4 linked regions of the Arabidopsis thaliana genome follow. The protein of the gene in region 3 interacts with the protein of the main gene of each other region in a pairwise test. Each region holds a gene or a part of one and is shown on either strand. Other genes may lie near its edges. The genes, in order: NFXL1, GIS, bZIP52 and AT4G37850.

The links.
Region 1: the proteins of bZIP52 (region 3) and NFXL1 interact in a two-hybrid assay, tested with the Arabidopsis thaliana proteins (one large-scale study listed by BioGRID).
Region 2: the proteins of bZIP52 (region 3) and GIS interact in a two-hybrid assay, tested with the Arabidopsis thaliana proteins (one large-scale study listed by BioGRID).
Region 4: the proteins of bZIP52 (region 3) and AT4G37850 interact in a two-hybrid assay, tested with the Arabidopsis thaliana proteins (one large-scale study listed by BioGRID).

What each region holds. Positions count from the first base shown.
Region 1 is NC_003070.9:3,332,538-3,340,837, forward strand, and holds NFXL1 (NF-X-like 1), read right to left. Parts: upstream 5,548-8,300; 5' UTR 5,408-5,547; intron 5,022-5,407; 5' UTR 4,955-5,021; coding exon 1,400-4,954; coding exon of another isoform or gene 1,388-1,399; exon of another isoform or gene 1,327-1,387; coding exon 1,252-1,326; 3' UTR 1,058-1,251; downstream 1-1,057. Other genes in the region: AT1G10180 (LOW protein: exocyst complex component-like protein), read right to left, coding at 5,844-6,111, 6,202-6,338, 6,510-6,698, 6,785-7,291, 7,375-8,300. UniProt on the Arabidopsis thaliana protein: Mediates E2-dependent ubiquitination. Confers resistance to osmotic stress such as high salinity. Promotes H(2)O(2) production. Negative regulator of some defense-related genes via an salicylic acid (SA)-dependent signaling pathway.
Region 2 is NC_003074.8:21,505,458-21,510,551, forward strand, and holds GIS (C2H2 and C2HC zinc fingers superfamily protein), read right to left. Parts: upstream 2,283-5,094; 5' UTR 2,150-2,282; coding exon 1,388-2,149; 3' UTR 1,115-1,387; downstream 1-1,114. UniProt on the Arabidopsis thaliana protein: Probable transcription factor required for the initiation of inflorescence trichomes in response to gibberellin (GA). Mediates the induction of GL1 expression by GA in inflorescence organs and is antagonized in its action by the DELLA repressor GAI.
Region 3 is NC_003070.9:2,102,510-2,107,984, reverse strand, and holds bZIP52 (basic leucine-zipper 52), read right to left. Parts: upstream 2,938-5,475; 5' UTR 2,753-2,937; coding exon 2,292-2,752; intron 2,212-2,291; coding exon 2,079-2,211; coding exon of another isoform or gene 1,977-2,078; intron 1,968-1,976; coding exon 1,883-1,967; intron 1,802-1,882; coding exon 1,467-1,801; 3' UTR 1,236-1,466; downstream 1-1,235. Other genes in the region: AT1G06840 (Leucine-rich repeat protein kinase family protein), read left to right, coding at 4,777-4,888, 5,027-5,177, 5,261-5,332, 5,430-5,475.
Region 4 is NC_003075.7:17,794,969-17,800,386, forward strand, and holds AT4G37850 (basic helix-loop-helix (bHLH) DNA-binding superfamily protein), read right to left. Parts: upstream 2,934-5,418; 5' UTR 2,893-2,933; intron 2,737-2,892; exon of another isoform or gene 2,699-2,736; 5' UTR 2,680-2,698; coding exon 2,644-2,679; intron 2,537-2,643; coding exon 2,033-2,536; intron 1,935-2,032; coding exon 1,563-1,934; intron 1,469-1,562; coding exon 1,394-1,468; 3' UTR 1,104-1,393; downstream 1-1,103.

The sequences.
Region 1 (8,300 bases), 1.2 Mb from region 3:
AAGCCGCAATCCGGTAATCACTTTGCTTCAACGAGTTCTTCCTTCTGCTGCGAGTCTAATTGATTGTCCGCATGATGATACTTACCTTTGGAAAATTGGTCATCATGCACCGTCAAATAGATTCTCTACAGCGGACACTTGGAGCTACCTTCAGCCCTCTAGTACTTCAGTTCTGTGGCATAAGGCGGTTTGGTTTAAGGATCATGTTCCGAAACAAGCTTTCATCTGTTGGGTTGTGGCCCACAACAGATTACACACTAGGGACCGGTTAAGGAGATGGGGCTTCTCTATCCCGCCCACTTGTGTTCTGTGTAATGACCTTGATGAGTCTAGGGAACACCTTTTCTTTCGGTGTCAGTTTAGCTCAGAGATTTGGAGCTTCTTCATGAGAGCCTTAAACCTCAATCCGCCTCCTCAGTTTATGCACTGTCTGCTTTGGACCTTGACTGCTTCTCGAGACAGGAACATCACGCTCATCACCAAGCTCCTTTTCCACGCTTCTGTCTATTTCATTTGGCGTGAGCGCAATCTTCGCATTCACTCAAATTCTGTTAGACCAGCTCATTTGATCATCAAGGAAATTCAGCTTATCGTTAGGGCTAGGTTGGACCCTCTGTCTCGGTCTTCCCGCGTCGTCTCTCAGCCAGGCTCTTCTCTTCTTGCCTCGTGGTTTGGAGTGTTTCAGCGTTCACCTGTCTCTGGTTAATGTGGAGTTTATTTTGCAGGTCCTCTGTTGGCTCAGCGTTGTTCTCCTTTTGTTTTGCTGAGATCTTGTCGTCCTTGGGTTCTCTCTGGGCCTCGTCGCTGGGATTCAGGTTCTCGGTTTTTTCTTGTTCTGTTAGTTGTTGGGCCTGCGTGCCTTCTCTGGGCCTGCGTGCCTGTTGTATGGCCTTCTAAGCCTTGTAACCTTTTTCGTTTTATTGGAAATTTATGAAAAAAAAAAAAAAAAAAAAAAAAAAAAGAATATGACACATAAAAGAGTTTTTTTTTCACTATTCCTAATGATTTCAGCACCTAACCGTTAATTGCAGAGGAGAAAATGATTTCAAGATAAAGAGTACTAATGAATGAATAACCAACCTTAGTGTTGCATCATTATGTCAAGAATAAAAGAGAAAAAAAAAAGCGTTACAAACATGCCGTTTCACAATAACTGAAGTTACTGAACAATGGGATGTTTTTTTAGTTACTACATAAATAAACCAAACGCACGCCAAAGATGCCAAAACAAAAACGGCACGTCGTTGGCTATCACCTAAGCTTTGAAATGGACTCATCACAGCATACGCACACGCATACAGTCTCCATTATATACGTCTGAACAATCTGCCGTTTTCATACATCACAAAGAAGTTGAAAACCAATCACAGTCGTTGGGTATATGCTCTCACTCACATACCTTCTCCCAGTCATCCACCACTTCTTCACCGGAGCCTTCCACCGGTTGTTTACCGGTAGTTTTTGAACTACTGCTCTCTTCTATCTGAGCAATTGGCTCCAAAGTGGATGTGCTGGCCTTCTTGGGCTCTAAAACACTCCAACGGTTAACCGAGGTAACAATTGGAGAGTTGCTCTTTGCTGATCTCAGCGCAGAGGCTTGAGCATCTGTAGATGATCCTCCAATGGGGGAATCTTCAGCTCCCCAGGAGTCATCACTCTCCTGAATCACAGCTCTCCTCCATGGATTTCCTTTGTCAACATCCCACGCCGAGCTGCCAGGTAATTTTCCCCATACATTATTAAGTGATGGAGATTGCCCGCCGCTCTGGACAACCACAGCTCCATGATATACTGAACCGTGCTCAAGCCTCCTCATGGCAGTGGCAGCTCGGGCATGGTCGTGGAACACCGCTAAAGCATTCTTGTCATTCAGCCAAACAAGCTCACATTCACCCCCAAATCTCAGTACCAAGGCGCTGATATTCGCCTCTCTCGGAAGATCCAGAAAAGAAACCACAAGTCCAGGATCCATATCCACCAGCGAATCATAGAACGGTGGGTGTGGCCCTCCTATCGAGATAGCACCACCCCTAGCTCCAATGATCCTTGTTGGCGGTTTCGATTTTGCTGTTACGTGAACCACTGTAAACCGTTTTGGCTCCCACCCTGCGTTGCTAACACCAAGTTTCCACCTCTCAGCTATAAGTCGAACCGTGTCTCGTTTATCCTTCTGCATCGGGCAGAAGATATGGACCTTAAGGGCACTTGTGCTTCCTCTTGCTTTCCCAAGTACCAAGAACTTGCAGCGCTCTTCAACAGCCAGTACCCACTTTGGATCACGCCTATAAAGGTCTGAAATAATCTCTGTCATAGCAGAATTCTCGCTGAAATGTAATGCCTCCAGATTTGGGGGAGTTATATCAAATGCATCTTGAAGAACCCGCTTACGCTCCAGCTTCGCACACTCATCATCACACGAAAGCTTTCTCTGCCCGAGGGGGATACGGTTTCCGCTCGATTCAACAGGCTGAAGTGGAGCTGGAAGCTTCTGTAAAACAGAGGCTTCATCATAGGCCGCACAGTAAACATTAGAACCGTTGGCACTTCTTCCCCCAGCATCACAAGGGACCGTAGCGGTTATACGACCACATGAACAAGTAATTGTGACTGAAAATTCACATCTTAGGTCAGGGCAAGGCGCAGAAGGATGGCAGAGTGCTGCACAAGTGTGTCTGCAATCTGTTCTAGGAGCACCACATTTCTGTCTACACGTAACACGCATACCTGCTTCAGATTCATTGAAGCTGTCACAAGGCTCCGGGTGACAAGTTCTGGCACAAGCATGCATGCCACAACGCCTCGTCTTTCCACAAATCTTGGTACATCTAATGTCTTTCAACCCACAGGGTATGTTTCTGAGAACCACATGACCACCAACGCACTTCTTTTCCACAGGGGTAGAACAAGGAGGACAATCTCCAAAATGGCATCCATGCGTATCAGAATGGCCACAAGGCTGAGGAATCGGGCATGGAAGCTGACAGCTAGGAACAGGTGTCCCACATGATAGTGGAGGAGGAATCGAAGTTCTTCCACAAGCACATGTAAGATCAGTGAAGATCATCTCGAGACAAGGAGGGCAATGTCCACTGTGACATAAAGATTCACAGGAATGCTGCCCACACCTTAGCTTCTTCTGACAAGGTATTTGGCAGACATGTGGGTCCCAATCGCCAGATAAATCATTCTTCTTCCCGTTCAAGAGAGGGCAGCAACGCTCGCTACATCTATGTCTCCCACAGTTCTTCTTACGTCCACATGGCTTAGCGCACACAAACTTCTCTGCCTCTGAGGAAGTTGTTATGTAGCATTCCACAGCCCTGGATGTTGACCCACACCGGCATTTCTGGTTAACTTGGACTAAACAAGGCGGGCAATCACCTGCATGGCACATCTCATTGCAAGTATGTAACCTACAAGGAAGAAGCTTCCTACATACATTTGAACAAGAAGGAATTGGGTCCAAGCAACTCTGCCTGATCTGTTCTTCTAAACGCGTATTCCCACAATAGCATGTCTTAACTCTACTGGGCAGTAAGTCACAGTCCCCGCAAGGTCCAGGATGGCATACCTCGGAACAGAAATGATTACCACATCCAAGAGGCTTCCCACAGTTAAAACTGCATGAATAGACACCATCTTCTGCTTTCAATTCCCCCTTCACATTCATATCACCGCAAATGACAGTCTCCACTTTTTTCTTGCAGAAACATGTGGCATTTACCAGTACCTGACAAGGATCACAAGGGCCAACATGACATGTCCTTTCACATTGATGACGCCCGCAACTAAGAAGCTTATCGCAACGCTGCCCACAAACAAGATCAGATCTCCGCTCGGAGCATCTAGTAGTAACCATCTTTTTCCCACAAGGACAGCTACGAGGTGGAGCAAAGGCTTTACAGGGAGGACATGGACCAGGATGACACTGCAAAACACATACATGAGGACAAAGATCCTCTTCAGTCGTCTCAGCAGGTGCAAACTCTTTCTCCAGCGGTTTCCCACATGGTTCCCCGCATGAGTGTGGAGTGAGATATGGGTCAGACGGTGGATCTCTTCTCTTTCCACAAAAGCACCGATAGGAAATCTCTTTAGATGATGTCAACTGTACAGATTGGCAACCTGGACATCTCCAGTTATCACCTTGGTTTTTCTCAGCTAGCAAATCAACTGAAGTTGGTGCTCGAGCCCACCTCTTGATACAGTTGATATGGAAGATGGAATAACAGCTGGAGCATGACCAGATATTGGCAGACCTCCCAACCTTGTCATAACAAATCATACACTCAATAGAACTCTTGACAAGCTTCTCCTGTAACTCTTGAACAAGTTGAGGCAAGTTTGGGTCTGTCAACACAACATTCTCCTCCTTCGCTACCCTTTTCCCCTGATTCACAGGCCGCGTCCTAGATGCAACTCTTTGGCGATTATCTGGCAGAGTTCCAGAAGCATTATTCCTTCTTTGTCGATTAGGTGGAGGTGGACCAATGTTATCACTCCTTTGGTGCTGGTTCTCAGGAGCATTATTTCTTCTATGTCGATAAGGTTGAGGTGGACCACTGTTATCACTCCTTTGATGCTGGTTATCAGGCGCATTATATCTTCTATGTTGATTAGGTTGAGGTGGACCAATGTTATCACTCCTTTGATGCTGGTTATCAGGCGCATTATATCTTCTATGTTGATTAGGTGGAGGTGGACCAATGTTACTACTCCTTTGGTGGTGGTTATAGGACGGAGGACCAGAAGCGTTATGCTGCCTTTGCAGATAAACAGGACGGGATGCAGAACCAGCATCAAGGGTTTCAGAATTTCTATCTGTATTAGGAGGAAGCAAAGGCTCATTTACCACCACGCTCGAGGTAGATGAGTTTCTAGGAATCCACGTTTGCTGATGATTGAATCGATGAGACCTATCATCGCTCCTATCTCGCCTGACTTGAAAGCTCATATTCTGCCTTGACTCCACAAACACAGAACTAGATCCTGTACCCGTCACTGTTGGAGCAATGGTGCTTCTGTACAAAAAGAAAAGCAAATGAGAAACATTCAGATTCTAGCAATGTCAAACATTGATGGCCCAGATAAATTCACCACACACGAAAATACGAGCAAACCAATCTACGTAACAATAAAATCTTACACAGCTACAACGATGTTGAAATTAACTAAAGCCAAATCAAACGAATCGAAAATTGATAGCAAGACGCCTAAACTATTCCTCCTTCTTTGGGATCTAAAAAAGGGGGTAAAATCAAAGTGCCCTATTTTATCATATCTAAGAAATTTTGGTGACCAACACCAACCAACACACAAATTTTGGCTTCGATATTGCTGAATCAAAGAGAACGATAAAACAAATGATTAGAAGCTCACAACCAAAGAGGGGGAAAAAGTTTGGTACCTGACAAGAATATACGAAAGCGTATAAAGAAGGAAACAATCGCCGGAAGAATCAAATACGCAGGAGATTCCGATTAGTCTCCCTTGTTTTCTCAGGGAGAGAGAGAAAGAGACTGTAGGAGAAAATGGAGCGATGAGGAAGATTATATATAGCGACTGAAAGTGATAGACCGCCTTGCTCCCAAAGGAAATAAAAGATAGAGAGAGAGAGTCGCGTACGACTTTTCTTTTTCACCGGCTTGTCTGAATTATTTTATGCTTGACAAACCCTCAAGAACCGCCTCATCCCTAATGGGCTAACAATGGGCCTATACTAATTGACTTAAACCAATCTAAACCAGTAATTTAATTTGCAGATGATTTCGGTTAACTTTATATATATTAACTTGAGAGTTTTGAGAGACTTGACTACAGGATACAAACTACAAAGAAAGTGGTCAAGACTCAGAATCGGTGAAAGATGGACTCTCTAGGTCAGCCATGCTTGCAGAGGCAAATGACTCGAACGAGTCCACTGTGGAGAGTGAAGATGTATCTTCGGAATCTGAGTCGTCATCCATCTCAGGGAGGACGATGTGATGATCGTCTTCTTCTTCTTCTTCACACTCATATTCTTCCGGTTCTGAAGCATCCTCAGACCCCATGAGTAGCCTGTTGATAGCTGACTTGGCGGCTTCTGTGAACCACTCTGTCTTCGGGAGTGAGCTGGTGAAAGAGAATAATACACTTTTTAGGTAATTCGTTATGTTGAGACCGAGTTGGAAGAAAATTCAAAAAGAGTGTTGTTTCAATTACCTTTGTGGGTTGATGCCTCTTTCCGAGAATATGTTGATGGCTCGATTGATCACCACTGATGCATGGTTCTGAACTACTTTAAATGGATAACCTGCAAACCTGGCTATCTCCACTGTGAAGTTCATGTCGAGGATCAACTGCAACACGTGACAACAAAACTTCAACTTTCAACCCCAATCTTCTCAAGAAATGAACTTCAACATCAAGTTTCAATTGTTTCCCATTTCAAATTTTCAATCTTTGACTGCTGAGCCTGAGATCAGAGAATAGCTGAGGTATATAAGAGTGGTGAAAGAGAGTGTTTCTACCTGTTGCAATCCAGATGGCTGAAGTGGATTTGACTCGTCCTCGAATGCACTCCAAAACTCCTGCTCGTTTGATAGCCAGATTATAACCGTCTCTGTTAATCTCGCTAGTAGAATCTTTTGCAGCTTCTCTTTACCAAGCAGAACATCCCCAGCAATTATGGCCAACTGTTGTAGCTTAGAAAACAATGCCTGCATAAGAACAGACACAGATGATTCTGTGTGCTAAAACTTATAAACTGGGAACTATAAAACTAGATCAAAGAAGAGGGCGAGACCTGAAACGGTAAAGACGGCAGATGCAAGTCATCTGGTGTTTCGGTTAAATAAATGAGTGCGTCTAATCGCGTTAGTCCTTCCCTAGAGTAGATGAAGCTCAAGACAAACTGCAGACAGAAGTAGTTTCTGAGTTTGTCAAATGCTTGAACCATATGGCGTTTCCATTCTTTCAGTTCCGGTGCAGCACTACTGTTTAGAGCGGCACTATTCTCACCTTCTCCTCCGCCATTTTCAATCTGGAGTTTCCAGACTTTAACAAGTGATCTTGGTAAAAGTTCGTCAAGTATTGTAAACGCAGCTCCAAGAAGCGCAAGCTGCTCAGAATCTGTCTCAGCTCTAGCGAGTACGGTATTATCTTGGAGCTCAGGTAGACCATCCTCATCTGAATGGCCAGGCAAGGCTTTGATCAGAAAGTCGATGTATTTATCATATAGTTGCAATATCCTCGTTAGTACACTCTCACCAAAGTGTAACACAACTAGGTGTGTTAACTGCTCAAGTATGTCCTGAAAGAACAAATAAAGCTTCTATAAATTTATGCCAACAGAATCAAAGAAAATAGTAAGATCAGTGTTCAAAATCAACTTACTTGCACAATTTGCATGAATCGAATGCTACAATCAGTCATCATAGTATCTGAAGCGATAGCGAATTCAGATAATATTGTCACAAAGTCAGAGGGTGATTCCAAGCCCTCATCAGTTTCATTCAAGTCAAAGATAACCCTTCGAGCCCGTCTAAAATTCAACTCCAACACTTCTTCAACATAAGGTCGGAACAGCACCAAAAATAGCTTAGACAGAAATAAGCCTTGTGGTTCCAACACTTTGCAATAGTTAAGACAATCTTGAAGACATATACTGGCTGCCCGCAATGCAGAAGCTGTTTCGGAAGGAGAAGCGTTTTCTTTAACCAACCGCACCAAATATTCAACTTCCCTCTCTGCCCATTGAACAACTTTGTTGGAATATGCGGGATTATCATCGTCACCAAACATGGCTGCGGATTCTTTTGTAGCCACTGAGATGTTAGAGAAAACAAGCTTAGAGAGAGTAGCAGGAAACGTGTTTGGGCAAGTCAAACATGAAGGGAGAAAGGCCTCGATTCTTCTGCGGAGGCTTGTGGCGTAAAACTTTAGAAGCAATTGGTGAGCTGAAGGTCCTTTTCCAAGTCTGATTAACCCAATCAATGCATGCTTCAATTCAGCTACACAAATCGAGGGTTGTTTAGCGATCCTAAGGAGCTGATCCTCAAGAACCGCCTTTCTTTCCATAAAGGCAGACTTGTAAGAAGACATCTCGACTGATCCTTTAAGATCTGGACTGCTTCTTTCCTCAGCATCCATTGCCTCCAGTGCTTCATCCACTTTATGTTCAGCCAAAAGAAGGTCAATTTTCTCCAGGAACTCAGACTTTGGATCGGTTACTTCATTAGGCAAGGGGTCCTCTTCGACTTCAGCGTCATGTACATCACCAGGTAATCGATTCCAATCATCCATCTCACGGCAAACTCCAG
Region 2 (5,094 bases), on a different chromosome or scaffold from region 3:
TTTCTCAATAAAGTGTCCAAAGATGTCGTTTTGGCATGTCATTTTCCATTTCCTTTCATAGGAGACTTGATTGAATCAGATTAGTTGATTTCTAAAAGAAACCATATATATGTAACCATCACCATGTTGTTGCATAGTGCATTATATTGGTGGAGGTTGTGAATTAATGCTTGTGATATTCTTTGATTAAAGTCTTGTCAAATGTGGAAACTCGTATGTTCTTCTGGATCAAAGTCCTAGCTACGTTGTCATCTATATTTATGTTTTGATTTGATAGTTTAACATAAAAATAAAATAAAATAAACTACATGGTTAATTAGGTACAAGGATTTTCCCATGTTTTGTCTTGAAAACCATTTCGGGTCATTGACATTCTCTGATATCATTAGTAGTTTTGTATTTGTCCTTTTGAATGCAACAGGACCAACCCGTCATAATCAATCTCGTGGCATCTGTTAATTGGAGTTTACGGTATGTGAATCACAACTTTTTTCAAGTTCATTGATTGAGATATATATAGACTATAGAGGCTGTTGTCTTGTTGGTATTCTTTGGATTACCTAAAAGAAAAGTTAAGAAATAAACACAAAAGTAGAAAGCTTGAGGAATTTTGCTTTGCTTTAGCTCCTTCTTTATGTTCTTACTCGAAATTGCAAGTTACGAGAATAGTAATTACATTAAGTACAGATGAGAAATCTCTATCGTAAACTCTACATCTGTGTGTTTATGGACCACTTCACTCACTTTGTTTCTCTCTATACCCTTTTGTCTTGTCCATTGTCTTCACTTACCCACACGCACCAAATTATCATCATTGGCATCATCTAAAATTATTACCTAGCTACTTATTACCCATCTTGAGTTTTATTTGTTTCAAGGAGATGGCGATGAGTACAGTGTCCATTAGATTCGTTTCAAACCCTCGTAAAAAGATTTGTACTCGAGAGGTTTAATTTTTGTTTTTGTATTTGTTACTTGTTAGTTCCGTACAGTAAAGATTCTATCATTTTATCGTTGAAATTCTATCTGAGTCACTGTGCGGTTATAGTTAAATACCCTAGTAACTAGTAAGCACTGCTATGAGTCTATTACTGACAATTTCCCTGAACCAAAACGATAGTGTTCGAAGCTATATTAAATGTGGACACGTAAATTCATAAATTCCCTTCCTTCATTCAAGCACGTATGGGTAAAAAAAGAAAGATCGATGCCGTGAATCTTACACATCGTGCCGTTTCTTACCTTACAAAACATTCAATAAGGGAATAGGTATAGATAATAAGAAGTCTAATCGTTAAAGATTACGTAATATTCAATAACTTAGGTTGTTTTTTCTTGCACTAAGTTACATAACACTCAATAAGAGTTTTATTTTGTTTTCAAATCTTTAAAGATGAAGATCGAGACTCACATGATCTTGCACGTTAGGGCTCAATCCGTAACCGTACGATGACATTCTGTTCTGAGCAGCGGAGCCACCCACTTGCGATGATAGTTGAGTTTGAGAACGGGTCAACAACGGTAAAGTCGAATTAGAAGAAGAAGAAGAGCCATTACTAGTAAACGCTGCGTTTGAGTTATAAACGCCTTGAACGCGAGGCGGTAGACGCCATAGTCCTAACTGACTCCCATAGCTGGGTCGTGTATAATACCCCGACGGCTTAGGACCAGAAGAAAATCCTCCATAGGACCTAGCCGCGGTTAACGGACCATTGGTCCACGACGGGTAATGACGGTAACTGTAAGGGTTATTGTCAGGATGATAAAAGTAAGAGGAAACACCGCGTTTGGCAAGCTGACGTTCGCGTTTGTGAGCGTTTTGGTGTCCACCTAGGGCTTGTGAAGTAGGAAAATTTCTAAAGCAATAGTGACACTCGAATCTCCTGTTGTGGCTGATGCTATTATTGTCCGTACTGTTGTCTCCGGTTTGGTCTTCTTCCTCTTCTTCTTCTTTGTTTTTGGTCTGGTAAGGATCGGTGTAGTCTTCTTGACCGGTAGTAATAGAGAAATCTCTGCCGGTGAAATCTTTTCCGAAGACACGAATGGGTTTAGGGTTCTTATCTTTAGGACGGCGAATGAAAGGAAGCTGAGAGAAGGATTCGACGTTCATGAAATCTTGAGTTTCTGTTTCTCCGGTAGCCTCGTCCATAGAGAGAGAGTCAGAGAGATAAAAAGACTGGGCGATATATAGAGTTATGAGGCTTTAGAGAGATAGATAAACATTTATATAAAACTGATTGGTTCTTATTTTTTATGGCAATTCATTAAATTTTCTATTTGTTGTATGTCAGAAAGGTTGATTGATAGCTTCTAATTATCAAAGAGCTAAAGAAAGGTTGATAGCTTATCCTTGGTCTCTTAAGACTTAAGAATGATGAACGGATTGAATATAATATTATATGTAAAAGTCGCAATATTATTCACTAACGGTGTGGAATTAATTGTGTTAGATTGTATCGGATGAAGATTATGGATCTATAATGCATGATCTATGATAGATGCTTAGACAGACGCAAGGTTGTTGGAGGTTAAATTATTGACTTCGATTATATATATATACACGAATACATAACATAAAAGCTTCGTATTCATATTTTGATAAATTACTAATTAAGTATATAGTTTTCTCCGAGAAAATGTACTTCTCCATATTCATATTTTGGTTTTTCTAATTTACATAGTGGATGGGTGGCATTTTCGTAAATATGGTAGTTTATTTTGTGTAATTTTATCTGGTACACAATACTTTCTGAAAAAATACTTTTTTTTTTTTTGACAAACTCTGAAAAATTACTAGTTCACGAAAATGCCACTGTTTTTTTGCTAAATTTGGTCACAATGAAATAGGTCCTTGAACAAAATGCAATAAATTAGTTTTTTTTTGTATATATTCATTTCCCCAACAAACTTCCTTCAAAACCATTGTTCCGCCTGGTTCCTGTGATATCTACTTTTGTTTCTTATTAAATTCCCACAAGTGCTTTTCCAAATAGTGCACTTAATTAATATATAGGACTTACGATTTTTTTCAATTCCAATTTCATTGAGATTTTCAGTTTTTCGATTTTAAAAGAAATTCTATAGCTTTCTCAACCTAATCTAGGTAGTACATATAATATGTAACATATTAGTTAGTTTGGTACAGTTTTCTTTTCGATACTAATAATTTAAGTTTTTGATCAAATTGGTTTTTATTAAAAGAATTAATCATGTCTTGTCTCGGTTCCGTTAATCTTTACCTTTTCTGATTCATATGGATTAGATTCTTTAAGGATCTATTTGCCCACGGGATCTTGATCATGAAACAAATTTTTGTGATGTCGTCGCTCTTCTAAAACTCTTGGACAACCTTTGATCTAAATAAATGAAAGACCCGTTTCAATTTATTTTTTAAAAACAATTGTAAAAAATAAACAATACTGTAGTAATGAAACAGACACGTACAACATTTATGGAGCAGAAAATGGGTCATGGTAAAATTTATGATAAGTAACTAAAAAAAATCTAAAACTAGGTGAAAGTTATCAGGGAATTGGGTTCATTACGAACGTACGTGGGGGTCGGTGTGTACTCACTGATCACACATGTACCCGGATGTTACTATTTATATAGTTCGAAGAGAATTCTCTTTTAGGGACCAGCTTTTACTTCTTTCATTTCTCTTTTCTTGGTTTACTGAACTCTTGACTCATTCCCCCGGCTCATAGAAATTCGGTTTTCTTTTTTGCCATAAAAGTGTGTGCAAAAAAAAAAAAAAAAAAAAAAGTGACACAGTTGAGGGGAATCGATTCCAAGCCTTAATCTAAAAAGAATCTTCTATAAATGATACGAACCCTTATGACGAAAAGAAAATAAAGCAACTTCGATTTTAAAAATACTTAAATTTAAATATCGGTTTAGATATCCCAAAGCACACAACAATAATAAGGTCATCTTAATAGCAAACTAAACGAGAAAGCAAAATTTTCATCGCCTTCATGTGACAAGAATTATAAAAACAATAACATCACATAAAAAAATTCTTTTATTACATAAATTATAAAATATATAAAGTATAAACAAATGCGCCAGTTTAGTCTACATCGAGAGCATAAGCATGAATACAAGAGAAGATTGCTAGTACATCCAGCAAACCACATCAAAATGTATACTTTATAAAATTTCAAGAGAACCAAACAACTTGTGCAACAACACCATTTGATTGCATAGATCCGATTTGTGACCCATGTAGCTGCGAGCAGAGAAAGTATCTCGGTGGGCTTTAGCTGTTGAATAGAAACCGTAAATAACAGTGTTCCTTTAGATTAATGTGAGGTAGACTAAGATGACACGTGTTGGTGAAGAGATTGAATAAGGTTTTAGTCTAGAGCTTTAAAGGTCTAATCAATTTATGTACTTTGGCATTATAATCAAACTGAAACCTCTTCTAAAGCAATATCTACGACAATGTTACATATATATATATATATATATATATTATAGTTTTATAGTTTGTTGGGGGACATCTAAAAGTTTGTTTAGTTTTTCAGTTTCCACTTTTAATAATTTTTGGCATTAAATTAGTTTGTCTAGCCATTAATATAAACTTAACATCATTTAATTACATAATTGAAAAATTTTGAACTTGAAACTAGAACTTCTTTTGCACATGCTTCGAAGCCTCGGACCATCATTTATCTTTGGAGATTGTTTGCTATATCCGTCGGTTTTATACTTCATCCAAGATCTGAATCAAAATTCAGATGGAAGAAAAAGTCCAACATTTTTATAAGTTACAAATACTATAGGAATGACACATTTTAGACAAACCGACGAAAAAAATACATATAAATGTACAAACCAAACAAATCACACAAAGGTGGTCCCCGTGAATGGAGTTGAACCCCACAAGGCCTTAAAAGCCCACAAAGTCTCAGAAACCCTAACAGCAAACACTTGGTTACAAACACCTTTGCTTTGCCATTAAAGTCATAGTCATATATGTGCTTCACAGATTAAATTGGCTTTTGTTGAAGGGACCATTTACCTCTCACTTTCTCTGCTTCATATCCTCCTTTTCTTAGATGCAACTCGTCCACTAGGACCACTGCTCTT
Region 3 (5,475 bases):
CGAAGCTTCGTTGATATTTCTTAATTAATCAGTATTATCTTTAAATAATTAGTCGTTAACTTAGTTGGGTTGAGTTTGACCACAACCTAATTAACAAAATGGATTCTGTTTCGTTTTTTTTTCTTTTAGCCAAACACTAATCTCTCGTTGTCTTCCCAAATGCTTCTATTTAATCAAATATTTATATTGTGCTCAAGATACATCGAGGCTTCATACGGATTAGAATTTGTCTATCGGCATGTTTTGTTTTGTTTTTTCATTTTTTGGCATAGTTTTGTGGGGGCAATTTACTTGTTGAACCCTAGTTTACATGTATTCTCTTGAATTTCTCACAATTTTCTCAAATTTCGATTTCATAGAAAGTTAGAAACAAACACTCACAATTCACAAATTCCCACTGGCAAAAGATGAAAAAGCCCAAAAAATAAAATTACGTATCGCCATCAAATAGGGCCTATTGGTTTAAATGTGGTTTTATTGTATATCAGATATTAAAACAAAACAATTGTCATCAAAGCACCAGTGGTCTAGTGGTAGAATAGTACCCTGCCACGGTACAGACCCGGGTTCGATTCCCGGCTGGTGCATGAGCTGTGAAGAAATTGGCTTTAGCATTGGTTGGGTCCAATGCATTCTACTGAATATCAGTTGATATTGCCCCATTCTGAGCTCTCTCCTTTTTTTTTTGGAAGTTATTTTGCGAAATAGACCGAGCTTCTCCAAGGACGTCCACAGTCCAGAGAGTAGATGTTTCGTCTGATAACATGGTAACAATGTTCTAAACTCTCCACGTTCTTATTGTTATGCATGTTCTATTGTTCTTGCTAGCTCAGTTTGGAAAGGTTGGAACTTTTGTTGGTTCTCTCCAACAATGGGTCTTTGCTTAAAGGTTGAATCGTGTTAGATGTCTTTCAAAGGTCGAATATTTTCGTTAACAGTCTTACAGAGTCTCAAAAACTAATCTCTCAATGCTTCGTCTCTCATTTCAACTCCGACTCCAAGTTTGGGAAATTTTGTCTCATGGAGAAGTCCGGTTGGGAGAAGTTGTCTCAAAACTCTAATGGGATGACGGATGTGAGGGTGTCTTGGAGAAGAAGCTACTGAGGAACTGCCTTGGTGTTGTCGTATCAAAATCATTGATCCCAAAATCAAACTATTAACCCAATTGGAATGAACTTATTAAACATCTCCATCTCCTAGTAAAATAAAACAAAACGTAGCAAACATCATTGTATACAAAAGAAAAATGAAATTTATTAGTCTCCTTTGTTCCTTGAAGAACAAACAATGGGAATAGCAAACAACGAAACTCACGACACATAACCAACACAAATGTATACGTACGTCCTTTCTTGCACAATGGCACCTCAAAAAAAAGAAAGAATAAATAATCAAAAGTGAATCAAATGAATTGAAAAAAAAAAAAACCTATTAACAGAAAAATGAGCCTCATCATAATCTTGTCGTCAATAGGCAGAGCTACTCTCACTAGCAGAGAGAGAAGGTCCTTCAGATTTGACTAAGCTTGAGCTATTGCTACTAATCTCCAGCCCTTGCATTCGGCCGTTCTGTAGAAAGTCCGACACGCTTTGAGAATTGGACATCTCCATAGGATTGAAACTAGAATGCATCTGCATATCATGGAGGTTCATTGAGCCATGATATGGTGGAATAGCCATGAAAGTTGAGGAAGAATACTGAATCTGCTGCATTCCCATATCAAACGAATCTGAATTACCAGAGATTTCTCCTGTCTCCATCTTCATCCTTTCAACTTCTTTCCTCAACGCTTCGTTTAAAGCTGTAACATCAAAAAGCAAATATTGAAGAAATGCACCAAAATGCATACAAAGAAATTAGCTTCTTTTTTTTTTGTGCTTACCATTACGAAGCTGAGCTTGTTGTTCCATTGCTTGCAACCTAAGTTTCAGCTCTGTGTTTTCGTTTGCTAGTCCATTTGTGTCTCTCTGGATCAATCAAAACAACATTGAAATCAAGATCTGTCTATGTATGTAAAACAGAGGAAAGAACTTTCCTATTCTGTTGGGATCAAACGAGGAATCGCCGAATATGGAAACCTGGTAGAGAGTAAGCTGAGCAGAGAGAGTGGTAGCTTCGGTTTGAAGAGATTGAACTTTGCGCTCAAGTTCTTGAATGTATCGAGCTTTTCTCTCTTTGGATCGAGCTGCAGATTGTCGATTCGCTAGAATCCTGTAATCAAATCCCTAATTTCATTGCAATTCTTCAATTCTGTGGAAAGAGAAACAAATTTGAAGAAGAAGAAGAAGGACCTTTTGGCGCGTTTGGGATCGATGTTCCAAAGCTCAGAGAGTTTTTCAGGAGGCATAGCTTTCTTAGCGTCCATGATATCACCGGCATACATGGCGCATCCAGCGTCAACGGAATTGCTGTGACGGTGGCGAGGACGAGAGGAAGGAGGAGGAGGAGGATTAGCAGCGCCGGAAACGGAGTTGGAGGAGAGGGAAGGATTTTGAAAGGGATTGGGATTAGAGGTGAGGCTATCGACATCGATGAAAGAAGAGAAGAGATCGTCGTCGGAGGGAAGGTCGTCGGAGGAAGGTGGTGCGGCGGAGGAGAGGGGATCCATGAACATGAACATGGACATATCGTCGGAGCGAGATCGGCGGTGGAAGGAAGAAGATGGAATCGGATCGGCATTAGGAATTGGATCGGAGGAGGGGATAATAGTGGCGCCGGGCTTTGGGACTGGTGGAGGATCTGATTTCTCCATTTTTTTAAGAGAATCTGAGAGATGAATGCTTTGGTTGTGTGAATAATTATGATTATTATTCGCAATTGAGAACAATGTCAATGGAGATAATGATGGAGATGAAGAAGACGAAGCTCTTTCTCTCTCTCTCTCTCTCTCTCTCTCTCTATCAAATGAAATGAAATGAAGAGCGTAGGAGAGAAACTCGACTCTGTGAGGAGAGAGAAGTGACGTCACTAACTATAAAATTGCGAAATTGAGTTGATTTATTAATAATTAAAAAGAAAACTAGTTGATGAAAAGTAAAAGGCACATTGGCACGTGAACCATCGCAGCATCTTGTCTCCCTCCCTTTTTTTTTTATTTTTTTTTCCTTTTTCTTTGTATTTTATTTAATTATTCGATTTCATGATTTAAATTTGTTTAACTTTAAATCTTCTTTGTAGCATTCATTACAAGATTCTGTAGTTGCTTCAACGAAATTTATTAATTTAAGCTGTTATGGCATTACATCTCCCCACGTCTGAGTGTATATTTTTGTATCTTTGAGTCAAAATTTTAACAAGTAAAAAATAGGCAGAAAGCCTTGTATGAACTGAGAGTCTGAGAGAATGTTTTGTGGGATAATAAGTTGGTAACTTGGTATGGAACTATCTATGGATTGGGAAACAAGTAAAATTCACTTATAGTGAAAAATACTTATTGGTTGGATCTAAATCATACGGAGGCCTTAATTATCAGGCCCATACAAGAAGACAAGTATTGTTTTGTTTTAAGAAATCCTCGAGCATATAATGCGCCTGTAGTGGACAGGAGGATGTTTTGGGCCTTCTCTTAAATTGGCAATTGGGCATCACTTTGTTTACCGGTCAAAATAATTAAAAAGATGGTCGTATTGATCGCTTTAAGTAATAAGTTTTTTAGTTAAGTCTCTCTAAATTGTCTTAAACGCAAGTAGTGGACCGGCATCATTTAATAGTGATTCAAATTAAAAACCTAATGATGCTTACTTTTACCAGCTAAAGTTTCTTTTGTCTTTTTTTTTTTTGTTTTATTATTATTTATCAACATACTTGTGAATTGTGATTCTCCCTTTTTTTATATATAAATAATGAACATACTTAAGATATAGTTTCTCCCATTTATTGTCACCTAACGGGTATTTTTTAAAACCAAATTCTGTTGGAAAGTTCTTCTCTAAACATAAATAATATATAGCTCATGTCTATGCTTTTTAATAGTGCCCATTGTATTTCTTTTCTTATTTGAGTAATTTATTCCAGCTGTTTCTTTTTTTTCCCTCTCGTAATGATACGACATAGTGACATACATCTTCTGTTTCTTCTTTTTTTGTTCAAGAAAATCATAATGACTACAGGTAATTAATCACACTTCTACAAATCAGTTGATAATCAGCACCATTTTCCAATAAAAGTCGATACTTTGGAAAATTTCGTGACTTTTAGTATCGTGGGGGCCAAAATGCACATAAAGATACGATATCGATGACCAAATTGCCATATACTATATGATTCCAATATACCAATGATTGCTACTATTTGCTAATGGTATACGTTTTTAAATTTTAATTAATACATAAAAAAAAAATCAAGGTGGGATAAAAAGGTAACTTTATTGACAATATTTGGAAATTCATCGCACCTGGCAAGAGATTTACCTACTGTCATTAAAAAAGGATTAAAAAAACGACAAAAAGGTCAAAGACAGGTCAGACAAGGAATCATTAAACAAAGGAAGAAAAATAGCAAGTAGAATGGTTTTGACGGAAGAAGGTGGTGAAGTTATGGCGGCGGCGCAACGGAAACTTATGATGACGCTCTTCCGTCGGTCTCATCCATTACCTGAAATAGTCAAACTTAGAAAATGTCGTATTATCACTCTTCAATGCTCCCACCCAATACCAACTACTTTCCTCTTTCTTTGTCTTGTGTTTCTTACTTGGTCATGGCCTTTTCCTTCTAAACTCTCTCTCTCTCGAGATTTCGTTTTTTCCTTGGGTCTCCTCTGTTTCCTCCTCTCTCGATATGTTTTCGACCCATCATGTCTCTCGTCTCCTCATACCTCTGCTCTTCTTCTTCCTCTTCTGTTGCTTTTCTTCTACTTTTGCTCAAGACGACATCACCAATCCCGTTGAAGGTTTCTTTTTTGTTGTTGTTGTTGTTAAAAGGCTTTGTCTTTGGTGTTAGATCTTCAGACAATTTGTGTCTGTGACAATGGGTTTTCTTAGCTTTCGACTGATTTGGTACTGATCATTGATGTTTTTTTTGGTTTTAGTGAGGGCTTTGCGAGTGATCAAAGAAAGTTTGAACGATCCTGTTCATAGATTGAGAAATTGGAAGCATGGAGACCCGTGCAATTCGAATTGGACTGGTGTTGTCTGCTTCAACTCCACTCTTGATGATGGTTATCTTCATGTCAGCGAATTGTATTGTCTTCTTCACTCTTGCTTTTTTCTTTTATTTGGTCTTCCTTGAGATTTGTTTGAGTTAGCTTTGTTTATACTTGTAGGCAATTGTTCAGTATGAATCTCTCAGGGAACTTGTCTCCGGAGCTTGGCCGGTTGTCTCGTCTTACTATCCTGTACGTGTTTTTAACACGATATGTTGCTTGATCTTTTGTCATACTCAATGGTGAATAACTTTCTTTTTGTATTGTACAACTTCTTCTCTAATGCCAGGAGTTTCATGTGGAATAAGATCACCGGAAGTATACCAAAGGAAATT
Region 4 (5,418 bases), on a different chromosome or scaffold from region 3:
GTTATTCCTAAGGATATATCATAATTATAAAAAATCCTAGATATAGACAAAGTTTTTGAAATGTTCTTAGAGGAAATGAATGGTAGGAAGGTGTCAAAATTTTCGATGCCATTTTGGGAAAAAGAAATACTTTATTGTTTTGAAAATCAATTCATAAGTTTGTTAATTTGAACATAAGAATATTCAGGACATGTACGTCAATTTATATCCACCCCAATGGGGTTAGATCGCTTAAAGGCAACTATGGTTAGTTTGGACTTTTGAAACGTATAAATCGTTTTCTCTTTTTATTTCAAACTAGTAATAGTAGAAAGTAATAAGTTAGCGATTAATTGGCACATATATGTCGTATAAAAAGATAACTAAACATTTGAACCAAACAAAAGATAACTAAACATCAATTTCTAATTTCTAATTGGCACTATATCCAGGTGCAAAACGTCTGAATCGTGTATATATAATAAATCTGGAGCTAGATTCACATAATCTTCACTGGATCATATTATCATAAATACCCTTTTTTGTCTAGTTCCGTTGCAATAATATGTAATATATATATTATATATACACGATTCAGACGTTTTGCACCTGGATATAGTGTTTGTATATATGCATATGTACACATATTATCTATTGTTTTGTGAAATGTGAAACCATAATTGTTCATTTTTCGCATTGCGGATATAATATTTTTATTATAGCTGAAAGAAAGAGAAGGATAGTTATCCACTTTCCGAATCCACGATTTGTCCAACTTTGTTAGTATCCTATGATTATCCTTGTTGTTCTCTAACACGGAAGGAAAGACTTGGTCGTCATGCCGCATTCCTTGCCTTGATTATCCAAGTGATAATTTTTTTTTTTATTATGATTTTCTGAATCTAGAATGTCTTGGACTGGGTACTTTGTTGTATTTGACAGTGCTAATTTACCATATGTTACTTTGAATTCAAATTACTCTTACTCATAATGACAGTAATCAATCAAATTCAATATAAATTGCTCTAAATTTTTGTGCACCAATAACTTGCTCTAACTCCTCCCAAAAAATTATTACTACAAACTTTAGTGATTTGGTATAAGATTGAACAGACTTACAAAATATAAACCATATAATACAAATACATAAACGGAAGTGCTTTACATCTTTGGAAACAGCAATATAATACATAAAGGGGGAAAGAACCAAATAGAGAAAAAAAGAGAAGTGAATTTTCAACTAATTTAATCTTATTTATATATAGAATTATAGATAATTAACAGATAAGAAAACCTCCAATCAAACTTATAAAAAAAAAAAAACATTTTCATGGCAAACCACTTATGTTTCGTCCATGTGTTCAACAAGATCTCCCACAGTAGAAATTGACGAGAAGCATGAAAGTTAATACAATCATATGAAATTCGACAAAGCAGACCTTAAGCTCTTTACAACATCCATGAGTGTCATGTCGAAATCACTCTCCTTCTGAAAAATAAACATCAAGCGATGTTACTCTAAAATTAAGAACAAGTTCTTCATTTATATGTATAAGTGTATGCCTGAATATACATTTGCATACCTTAGCTATAATGGTGATATCAAGAGTTGGTCCAAAATTCAATACACTTGAATTAGTTATCAAGATATGAAGTTTCTCAATCTCGGCCATAATCTTGGCAAGATGACCCTTTTGCTTCTCGCAAAGGATCTTGATTAGAACATCTTCATCCGAGAATCTTACCTCGATCTCGGGAAGATCCAAGTCCGAGAAGCCATCTTCACAAGAAGAAGAGAATGATTGATTATTATCGTCCAAGATCAGCTTAGACTTCTTCACAAGAACCATTGATTCCAATCTTCTTTCTTTCTTCTGTTCCTCCAACTCTCCCACTCTTTCTTGGAGATACTTTATATGCTTTAATGCATCTCCCAACACAGAAGCCTTGTCCATCTATGCACGCAATTAGAAAAAAATTACACCTATAGATTCAAAAACATGTATTTTTTTGAAAAAGGTAATCAAGAAGGAAGATCTGATGGTATGTATACCTTTTTAAGGCCAGGAACTAGAGCGGAAAGAGCTACGAATCTTTGAGTAAGCTTCTCTCTACGTTTTCTTTCGGCTATTATGTGATCCTGAGCATTGGATTGGTTTCTTGAAAACGGTTGAGCCCTCTTGGTCCCTTTTCGATTAAACTCATCACTCTTCTGGTGTGGTTGCACTTGAGCCTCTAATTTTGGGCTAAAGATTGAGTTTAGGTAGGTGGGAGAGTACTCGTGTTCCATATCATTTGAACCATAATCTTCGAAAGAGAGAATTCTTGAGGAAGAATGACGGTGAATATGATGGGGCTTTGAATTTGGAGGAAGATGAGAAGAAGGTGATATGTAAGTTGTCTCAAGGATCTTTGGTGGTTTCATTTCGATCAAATCATCATAAGAGGGATCATTGTTGGTCGTGAAAGAGTGTGGAAAAATGTATTGAGCTTCTTGGACCTCTCCCACTATTGAGTTCATGTGAAACTGTTGAATTATGCTATTTTCTTCTATTTCCTAAAATATAACATCACACCCAAAAGAAAAAAGAACAAAAAACAATGAAAAACAGTCCCAGATGACAACATATATACATGAGTGTATGTGTTTATGCGCATATATACCTGCTCAGAAAACCATCTTGTGGATAAGATACTCATTGCTGTTGCCTCTGAAAATCTGAAAATGGTAAAAAGAATATTAGTGTATGATTTATAAACAAGAAACTGTATTTAACCAAGAAAAAAGATAAATTAGCAGATCATCTTGGGTTTCAAATACAAGATTTGACGTATAGTAAAAACCCAAGATCAAGAAACATTTAGTAAGGGTTGAGATTTATGTTTTTTGAATCACAAAGAAATAAAACTCACCAGCTTCTAGGAGAAGAGAGAGAGAGAAGAGAGATTTGTGTGTGAAAACAGTGGAATGCACATGCATATATGTACATGTATATATAGAGATGGACACACATATGAAGTAATTTGCACGTGTGAAAGGCAATACTACTCAACTTTCACACTAAAAATATTCCTTTTTTCTCACAGCATTTGGGTGTCAAAACTAATTAATTATATTATAGATTGTTTTATATTTGTCAAATTTCACAGGTTGTTCAAAGTTACTCATTGACGTATACAGTATTTTGAGGTCCTATTTGAATGAATATAAAAATGTTGCGGGCCGGAGACAAAAAGGGTATTCGTCTATTGAATATATCAGGTTTTTGAGTTTATATTATTAAGTGTATTTTTAGGGTTTCTTCTTAGAAACAAAAAAAATCGCCTCAATTTTTATTTTGTTTTGATATATGTTTACTCATCTTGTTTCCCTTGGTTTTATTTTTAAAAAAATATTAGTTTCTCCATAAATACATTTTTCAAAATGCATCCAAATTTGACATGAATTTATGTATCAGGTGTGGTATGCGAATATGAAACCAATTAAAAATCAAAACTGTTCAAAAAAATATTTTCTAACATCATATAAAAATATTAAACCTTATGACGCGCATCAAAATGTTGTTGGCCAATTGTAAAAACATTTGTATATAGAAAGCTTGTATTCAAATTCTGCTATTATTACTGAGTAATAAACTTATATATATAGTCAAGTAATTTATACTAAAGTGTCCTTCACTCACTATCTGAATATGTATGTTGTTGAAGAACCAATAAAAGGAAAGCATTCATGATTAATTTTCATAAATTTCTTATGATAAGCGAACTTATGATAAGCAAAAATAGACAGAAGATGACAGGAAACTTTCCATAATCAAATTGTGGGTCCAATTGAATATAATCTAATACATATTCCCATTAGTTTTATACTTTTCTCTTGTAAACTAAAAATGTGACACCAACCAAAGATCTCGCTACGATTTTATGGTATATTATATGGTATTGGTTACGACATTAATTATTTCCACGAATTTTCTTTTTTTCAAGAAAATTGTAAATTCAACAATAAAAAAAAGATTAAAGTATGATTTGAATTTAACCATTGGCGTTCTCTTCTAAAAGCTCTCATCTTTTATACACAGTTTGATTAAATGTGTGAATCACCATGACTGTCAAAGACGTTCGATTATGAACAAACAAAATCACAAAAGTTTATATTTTATTCAATCAGAATATTCAAACATTATACTACAAGTGATCGACACTAAGATAATTTTTACTTTCCTGGAACTCATGTGTCTTGTGTCTTGTGCAAACGTGCTACTCTTAATATATAATCGATTAGGTAAAAATAATCAATCAAACATGAAACTCTTTTATGTAAAGTTGATATTTTAAGTCAAGTATTTGTCGGAATTGTTGAACTTCATAGAAATGGTAAGCTAGGTAAACAAAATATACTTGGGATATTATAATCTAAGTACTAAAATAGAAATAAAAGCCAGTTCACTTACAACTAGATCTCTCCCTCTTTTCCTCCATTACTACGCCCCATGACAGAAGCATCTTGGCGCCTGCAAACCAAATTCAGTGTTTTACAAATCTCCATAAAAATTTAATACTAAATCCCTCGAATTTTATATTTTTATATAGTATTTCATTTCTCAAGATCTAAATACTAAATTAACTATAATATTATCATGAGTATATTTTACTCTATAGTATAAAATGTGATAGAGTATATATACAGTACATTGTACACATTTACAAATAGACGATTATTTTGTTTCTATCTTTTTCTTCTTTCTCTTTCACTCTCTCTCTCAAGAGTTTGTTACAGAAGATTGAAGATTCCTGATATGGTATCAAAGCATCTAAATATTTAACAGTTTTCTGGATCTATATCACTATATTACTATATCACATCACCAAGACAGTACATCCCATGAAATATAAGCATCTTGGCTCTTGCAAACAAAATTTAGTGTATTTTTTTTACTTCTGCATAAAAAAAAAAATCTGATAAGTTGGCGTCAAAAATAAAAATAAATAATAATTAATATTAGGGGCCCTTATATTATTCCTTTTCTAAAGCTCCAAGTACACATACATGATGATTAGGTTGTTAATTTTAAAATCTTATTGTCCATTTCTCAAGATCTAATTCTAAATAGTTTCCTGGATCCGTATCGTTGGGTAACGTGAGAGAATAATTAGTTTTTGAAGTCAAAACCCTAAAATTGAAACCAAAGAGATCAAACAGTAGATACAGAAAAATAGAGAAACCTTATTATAAGCTTTTGCATTATGTCATGTAAGAAACACTTTAGTGAGACTTGAACAATTTTTATTATTATCTTCTCTGCCATTATGTGTTGGTTGATAAATATATAGCAATTGGCCCTATAATTGATGGATTTGCTGTAGATTTGCTATGGATTTGATAGCACTCTTCATCCTAATCCTCAGTTTTGAACAAAAATGAACCAAAAGAAGACT